Linked DNA regions of Kluyveromyces lactis. The main gene of each other region encodes a partner of the protein of the gene in region 3 in a complex. Links are inferred from orthologs where the notes say so. Each region holds a gene or a part of one and is shown on either strand. Other genes may lie near its edges. The genes, in order: GON7, PCC1 and CGI121.

Region 1 (2,456 bases), on a different chromosome or scaffold from region 3:
ACAATTTACCAGTAATAGACCCACAGAGATTGTTCCTGTGAACGTACTCGTTTATATATCAGTACTCAGAATATCTAGAGTAAACCACGGGTTAGAATGAACGCACTCAAGTCAATCTGTAACGAAGATAGTCAAGTTTGTTATTTGAGTCAGGCATAGATACCAGGCCTTTAAAAGAACGAGATGACAGGGGAAAGACAAAGCCAACGAGGGGCATTTCATGTTGGAAACATTGACTCAAAACCGGGTAATGACAATAGAATACAAGGCACGTGATTATCACATGCTTCAATTACCCGGATAACAATGGTGATAACTCGAAGAGTTTCTTACTGGTAAAGACGCGATAAACGTAAATACCAGCAAATGCACTCGTTTCATGACAGCATAAACATTACAATATACGCCTCTGATATCTAATTTGTCACAAGAGAAACTAGAATCTCCATTTGCAATGCGAAACATTGCCACGGTTTCTCTTTTCCCGCATCTGCATGTTCTTTCTTATTGTAAATGTGCCATTTCTTACTCTCCGTTCATATACATTTTTGTTTATAAAGACATTTGATATAATTCGGTTTTATAAATTACCTTAACAAATATCAAGACTGAATTAGTATGAGAAGAATACGTGTGAAAATACAGTTATACTTCCCAGCCCAGTGATAAATTATCATTATCATTAAACAATTAAACACCCAATGTTCAGATTAGCCCAACGCCGTGCCTTTTCGGCCACTGCCCGCACCAATGATTTTGCCAAGATGTCCATTATCGGCCGTATTGGTAGCGAATACCAAGAGTTTACTACTGCTAACGATACTCGTTACTTGAAATACTCCATTGCTTCTCAGCCAAGAAAGGACAGCAACACAAACTGGTTCAATGTCACTGTTTTCAACACTAACCACATCAATTTCATGACACAATACGTCAAGAAAGGTGCTTTGGTTTACATCGAAGCTGATGCTTCTAACTATACTTTCGAAAGAGAAGATGGTTCCAGGGGCCAAAGTTTGAGTTTGGTTCAAAGGGATATCAACTTGTTGAAGAACCCAAAGGCACCTGAAACTGAAGAAGAACAACAAGCTTAAGAATGCTGTGATCTGTTAACCAATTCGTGTTGTTTTCTCTCGGCTGCTAATAATGTATTATTCCACATGGAGTATTTTTTTGACTACCTCTATATACTCTCTCTGTCTCTTAGTAATTACGTATAAATACTGTTTTTATCTAATAAGTTCTATCAAGGACATCTCGAATCTCACTCCCAGCCTTTACTTCTACTAGTATGCCTTTTTTTTTCCCCCATTGTGTCACAGGACATGTTCTGATGAATAGCATTTCTTATTTATCATATTGTCAAGATTTCTAATGTTAAATCATCATCTCATCTCATCAACAAGGTATTAAAAAGATAAAAAAGGGTATCGAACACAAGGATCAACCAATGTCTTTACCACACGCTACATATACCGGACCCAAATCAACTCATGAATTCGAAGTCGATCCTTCTGACCCCAGGTACCAGACTACGGAGGGAAGAACTACTGGTGCTTCAGATTATGTATTGAAACAAGGGCATCAAGACGTCGATAAACCTAGTGACCCAAAGAAGGTTGATAACGTCAATAGTAAGACAGGAATCGATCAATATACCACGCTTTCGCAACTGCGGATGCAATTGACCGGATTACAAGACGATATCAATGAGTATTTGACTGAGAAGATCAATCACGTGAAAAAACCTCGTAACAGCAAGCAAGAACAAGAGATAAACGATCTATTGGATGGTTCTGAAGAAACCTGAAGATTCTGCAGATCGAGAGCTTCGAATTCTGTCGTTTGAGTGTTGAATGGTATTTATACGTACTTATTATCTGTTTGTATATAAATAGTGTCATCAAATTGTACTATATCGTTCCGGTTTTTTGATCATCTTAAAGTTGGTGAGTCAACAGATTGTGACATCTCTTCAGAGAGAAATAGGTACTGGTATACACCGCCAAGAGTCCTAGAAGGACAGCTGAATAACATCAAAGTGTAATCACGCCATGGGCAAGCTATTTCGGGTCGATTTGACCGTTCTTTCTTTTGTCTGCTTGCAATATTGGATCAACTATGTGGATAGAATCGGTTTCACCAATGCTTATGTTTCCGGTATGAAAGAGGATCTCGGGTTCAAGTCAAATCAGTTCAATATCGCTAATACGTGTTTCACCGTTGGATATTTGTTAGGTATGATCCCTCATAATTTGATTCTATTGAGAATCAAACCTCGGATTTGGTTGAGTTTCTGCACTTTTGCTTGGGGTATTCTGACATTGTCAATGTTCAGCATTGATTCCGTATGGCAGTGCTATGTGATTCGTTTCTTTCAAGCTTGGTTTGAAAGTTGTACTTTCAGTGGTACCCATTTGATTCTTGGGTCCTGGTATACTCCCTCCCAACTACCG
Region 2 (2,314 bases), on a different chromosome or scaffold from region 3:
GATGGTGGAGTATTCTTTCCCTCTAACTCTAGTAAGTTAAGAAGTTGCCCATCACAGCAAACTTCAAAGTTGCTCTTTTGTGACGGATCGTCTAGTACTTCGACGTTAAAACAAAATGGCAGTGGTCTGTAAAACGTTCCATTCTGTAAGATGTTTGAATGCTTCGTATTTGAATAACCCATAAATACCCTTTTCTGGAATTCTACTCTATCCAGAGAAGACTGGTATGCCAATACATGTAGTTGTGATTCCAATGGATCAGAATCGGGAGATGGCATATAAGTTGGCTCCAGATTTGTGGTATTTATTAACGCAAAATAACTAAAAGATCCTTCCAGAATATCGGGAATAGAGACGCGAGATTCGAGCTTGTATTCTCTTAAAATTCGCTGGCTAGCAACTCTAAACCTTTCAATGCCCATTTTCTGGTACTCATCTTCTTCGCAGAGATGAAGTAAATTTGCATGAAATCCCAGTGACAAAATTATGAAGAATTTAAGGACATAACCGTTGTCAAAAGTTGCCCTATACAACGGGAAATCGTTGCAGGACAACTTACCATTGACAAATTGTGAGAATATGACAGCTGGATCCATCAACTTCAAAGAGCTTGCCCATGCATTTCCTGTACCCATTGGGAATGGAAGCACTGAAATACAGTCGTGGTTCAAGGGCAGGTTATTAACGAATTCTGATATCGATGTATCACCAGAAAGAAAGAGAACAGTGTACTGTCTAGTGCTGTCAATGCTCGAGGCCAGTTCTATGACAGATGACTTGGATGTAGTTTTTATTAGGCGGTAAGGGACAATAACCTGCTCAAAGAATTGTGCTATGACGTTCGTGGCGAAATCGCAGTCTTTATCCCGGCCAGATCCTGAAAACACCGAATCTACGATGAGCAGTTCCCCCGAATATTCAAATTTCTTATTAGCGAGAAGCTTCTCATCATCTAAGAGTTTCGAACCAAGTTGGTACGATTTAGCACCTTCTGCTAAAAGCTTTGTGACAATTGTAAATGAGACACCGTTATATATCCCTAATTCTTGTTTAGTTACGTTAGACTCGTCAGGCATTCTGGCCATGAGAAAATTTTATCCTTGAAGATCGGCCTGCCAATCCTTAGCTGATAATAAATTATCTTCGCACCTGGTACCAGGACGGGCATTTTGATAGTAAGTCAGATATTAAAGACTTAAATCCATGCTTGATCTAAACTACCTTCAAACTTGATGTTCTGTTATTTTTACCCAATTAGAAATCAAAAAAGTCTTCGAAAAACGCATCCGTACTGTGTGTGGTTCATGTTCAGGATGAACTTATTGACTTTGAGATCTTTATGAATGATACACACTTGAAACTTGCTGCAGTAGTGAGTTCAATCAGCGGATAAATAGTACTCTTTTAAGATGAATAAAGGAGACACGTCTTTCGAGCACTCTTTGTATGTTATTTCTGGCTCTTATGAATGCAAGTTTATAACTTGAAATACTAACAAGTTGTGATGTAAAATGCCGTACAGACATTTGGAAATACCATTTGAAAGCATTAAACAAGCTGATGTAGCAAGGAAAGTGCTGCTTCCAGACCCCATCATGAAACCAGAGGATTTCCAAGTTACTTATTCTACGCAAGACACCAAACTTATATGTGATTTTGAAAGCGTTGACGAGCGTATTTTACGTGTAGGTGTGAACAGTGTCATTGAATCAATCAAGACAATCGTAGAAACTATTGATGAGTTGTGCTAATGCAAACAGAACAGTACACGTTCGGGGTGCCTTTTCATCATCTTCCCATCTTTCTATTACTTTCTAACCTATGGTACTATGAAATTTCTTAAGGCAGAAAAACTAAACGCAGAACAATTTGTGTCATTGCATTCGTTATTCATATTATGCAGGAACGAAAGTGAAGAAAAAAGTTAAGGATCAAGCCTAGCAATATTTACCAACAGTGTCATGAAATCCCTAAGTCTATAGCCAAGTTCTACAATAAAGCATCGTACTGATTAGCGACAATTCGTATCCATGCATTAGAATCAAAGAAGACCGTCGTCATGTGAGATGTCGTTACCATTTCGAGTTGTGGAGACACGCAGAGTACATCACCAGCTTTCAGACGAAGAAAAGAAAAATGATTGAGGTAATATGTAAAGGTTTGGCAAACAGATACAAACCGGTCGTAGAACTTTTCCTTTCCCCTTCCGTTTCCAAGCCAACTTATTAATGTATATATACATATGCCTTACTATCAATTTTTTAAATCTTACACAAATAAGCAGTTCAACATGTCGACTGTCTGATAATAATAA
Region 3 (2,433 bases):
AACGGTGGCGTTGAACACTTTAAGTGTTCCTCGTCATCGTCGAGGTCTATTAGCGACAGGTGATGGTTAATGTTGTCCGATACTGCGTTATTGGTAATAGTCTGAGTGTTATCGGGATCAGAGAAAGGAATCGATAACGTGGGGGACCGCGAATTCGGTGATACAACACCAATTTTATAATCTTCAAGCTCTGGCGACCTAGCTTTGTCTCTGTGGTTTCCTTCGTCAGTATGATGGGTAAGGGATCCCCAAAACCAAAATTTGCTCTTCCTTTTCTCCTTTGGTCGCTTCTTCTTCTCTCTCGGTAAAGCTTTGGCGACAAATGGTTCCAAGGGATCCATTTTAAATTTCGGCTTGACATCATCACCATCCTGTGAAGGCAGATTGTTTCTATCATTTTTATCCCGCAGTTTATTGAGCAGAATTTGCTTACTTCTTAATTCATGAGCGCTTTTCATTGCTTTACTCCGTAGTATTTCATTTGTTGATTTCTTATTGGAATGCGGTTCCAAAGGCTTCTTTGGTGCGGTCAGCTCCGGTCGATGAGCATTTGAACTCCATGCAAATGTAACATTCTGTGTAGTCATTGAACTGTTGTTTAAACTACTGGAACCGTGGTTCGTTTCCTCACGTCTCCATTCTTCTTTGATTTCATGATATTTATCTATCATGGGGGTTTTTAATGGTTCAGACCACTTATCATAATTTGGGTCTCTTATGCGTAAGAGTTTGTCTTTATGTCGGGCTATCACCTCGTCTGCTAGCTTATATACCATGGCTTTTGTTTTTGAACCCTTTTTAGTATCGTCTAAATCCTCGAAGAAGCCTGCCTTTTCGAATTGTTCTACAGCTGTACGAACTTTTCTAATATATTCGTCATCATCATCATCTTTCTGATTCTCAAGCTTATTCCCCAGTGGTTGTTCGGTAGCAATTGGTTCTTTATGCGCTGCTGGTCGTTCGAGATCATTTGGTCCTTGATCCCGTACTACTTCGCTCAACTGCCTTTCCTCAAAAACACTATCCCAAACGTTTTCCTCGTCTGGAAGCTCCATTGACAGTACATATACCGTTGATATAGCAAAGTGATCACTTATTGTGTTTTCTTGTTCTGAACCTTTTGTAAAGTTTGTGTACTCATGGTTTTCTATCAATCTTTCTACGCTAGAAACTACTCGGATTGATTTGAAAGATTTAAATAGTAAGTCAGTAACAGTACAGATAATCAGAAAGTGAAGTTAAAAGAAGGACCGATAGTAGGCGACTTGCATCCAAGAAGTTCCAAGAGCTCATCACAAGACAAATGGCTGGAATAGTTTTGAAGTACAAGATTCCTCAGTTTCAGGAGTATACTATTCATGTTCAGAAGTATAACAATGTTACCAATTCTTCTGAGCTACGATCCAAATTGGCTGAATTACCTTTTGCATACATCGACTCCAAAACTGTGATATCCGTTGAACAATTGTCGAGTGCCATCTATAAGGCTATTTTGGAAACAGAGTACAATAGAATGCGGACAAGAACTATCCATTCTGAATGCATTTTATCACTATCTCCTAGTTCGAACATTGGCGATGCATTGAACAGATTTGGTATAAAGGAAGGAACAACTGATATAATTGTGATCAAAATCATTGAAGACAGTAATGAAGAACCCTATGATGGCAATGCTTCCGTTGATGGGGACCTAGTTCCAGTCTCGGATGATGAGTTTTCTACATCTGCCGATAAAGAAATTATCAAAACGGTATGTATTCCTTGTGATAAGTTATGAACAAATGAGAAGACTCTTAATAATGAATAGATTACTAACCTAAATGCTATATGATTATGATGAGGATAAAGAGCTACCGAGCTCTTTACCATTGTACTATGTGTTTTTTTTTTCGGTAGAATTACAAATTGAATAAAGTAGGAGATGTATCAAACGAAGAGTTATCAACACTTGCCGTCAACGCGATACAACTAAGAGGATTGTAATTCTTCGCTAATGATACAACCAAGACCCATGAATGCCTCTGTTAACATTCTATCATAAATGAAGTCCGCCCTGAATCCTGAGGCTATATATTCCTTCTTCTTTTGTAAGTCTCTGATGAAAGAATCATTATACTCGTTTTCAACCAATTCGTATCTTTTGTGTAAATCCCTGTCCCCATTGAATGGTGTGAACGGTACAGTATCTTTCTTCTTCATTCTACCATTTGTCATTGTCATGTAAGGATTGTTTCTTAACACTTTATTTAATTCTTCGAGCTTCCTTCTGGCAGAGGATTTCTTTAGCTTGACAGTCTTTTTCACATTTTCAATAACTTCCTCAGCATCTTCATTCACTGTGAGCTGGTTGACAATTTCTCTCTTTGCCCACTCCCTATTAGCCCTCTCTTCTTCTTCTATCTGTTTCTCTAGTAGTCTTTTCTTTAACTTCAT

Evidence for each region.
Region 1: CGI121 (region 3) and GON7 share a complex: the UniProt entries of both Saccharomyces cerevisiae proteins name them as parts of the EKC/KEOPS complex. The link is inferred for Kluyveromyces lactis from reciprocal best matches to the Saccharomyces cerevisiae genes CGI121 and GON7.
Region 2: CGI121 (region 3) and PCC1 share a complex: the UniProt entries of both Saccharomyces cerevisiae proteins name them as parts of the EKC/KEOPS complex. The link is inferred for Kluyveromyces lactis from reciprocal best matches to the Saccharomyces cerevisiae genes CGI121 and PCC1.

Annotation. Positions count from the first base shown.
Region 1 is NC_006037.1:564,726-567,181, forward strand, and holds GON7 (chromatin DNA-binding EKC/KEOPS complex subunit GON7), read left to right. Parts: upstream 1-1,450; coding exon 1,451-1,810; downstream 1,811-2,456. Other genes in the region: RIM1 (Rim1p), read left to right, coding at 702-1,094; FEN2 (Fen2p), read left to right, coding at 2,055-2,456. UniProt on the Saccharomyces cerevisiae protein: Component of the EKC/KEOPS complex that is required for the formation of a threonylcarbamoyl group on adenosine at position 37 (t(6)A37) in tRNAs that read codons beginning with adenine.
Region 2 is NC_006037.1:48,870-51,183, reverse strand, and holds PCC1 (chromatin DNA-binding EKC/KEOPS complex subunit PCC1), read left to right. Parts: upstream 1-1,409; coding exon 1,410-1,444; intron 1,445-1,522; coding exon 1,523-1,751; downstream 1,752-2,314. Other genes in the region: KLLA0_A00550g (uncharacterized protein), read right to left, coding at 1-1,085. UniProt on the Saccharomyces cerevisiae protein: Component of the EKC/KEOPS complex that is required for the formation of a threonylcarbamoyl group on adenosine at position 37 (t(6)A37) in tRNAs that read codons beginning with adenine.
Region 3 is NC_006039.1:1,297,834-1,300,266, reverse strand, and holds CGI121 (Cgi121p), read left to right. Parts: upstream 1-1,303; coding exon 1,304-1,777; downstream 1,778-2,433. Other genes in the region: LFT1 (Lft1p), read right to left, coding at 1-1,055; TFIIH/NER complex subunit TFB3, read right to left, coding at 1,969-2,433. UniProt on the Saccharomyces cerevisiae protein: Component of the EKC/KEOPS complex that is required for the formation of a threonylcarbamoyl group on adenosine at position 37 (t(6)A37) in tRNAs that read codons beginning with adenine.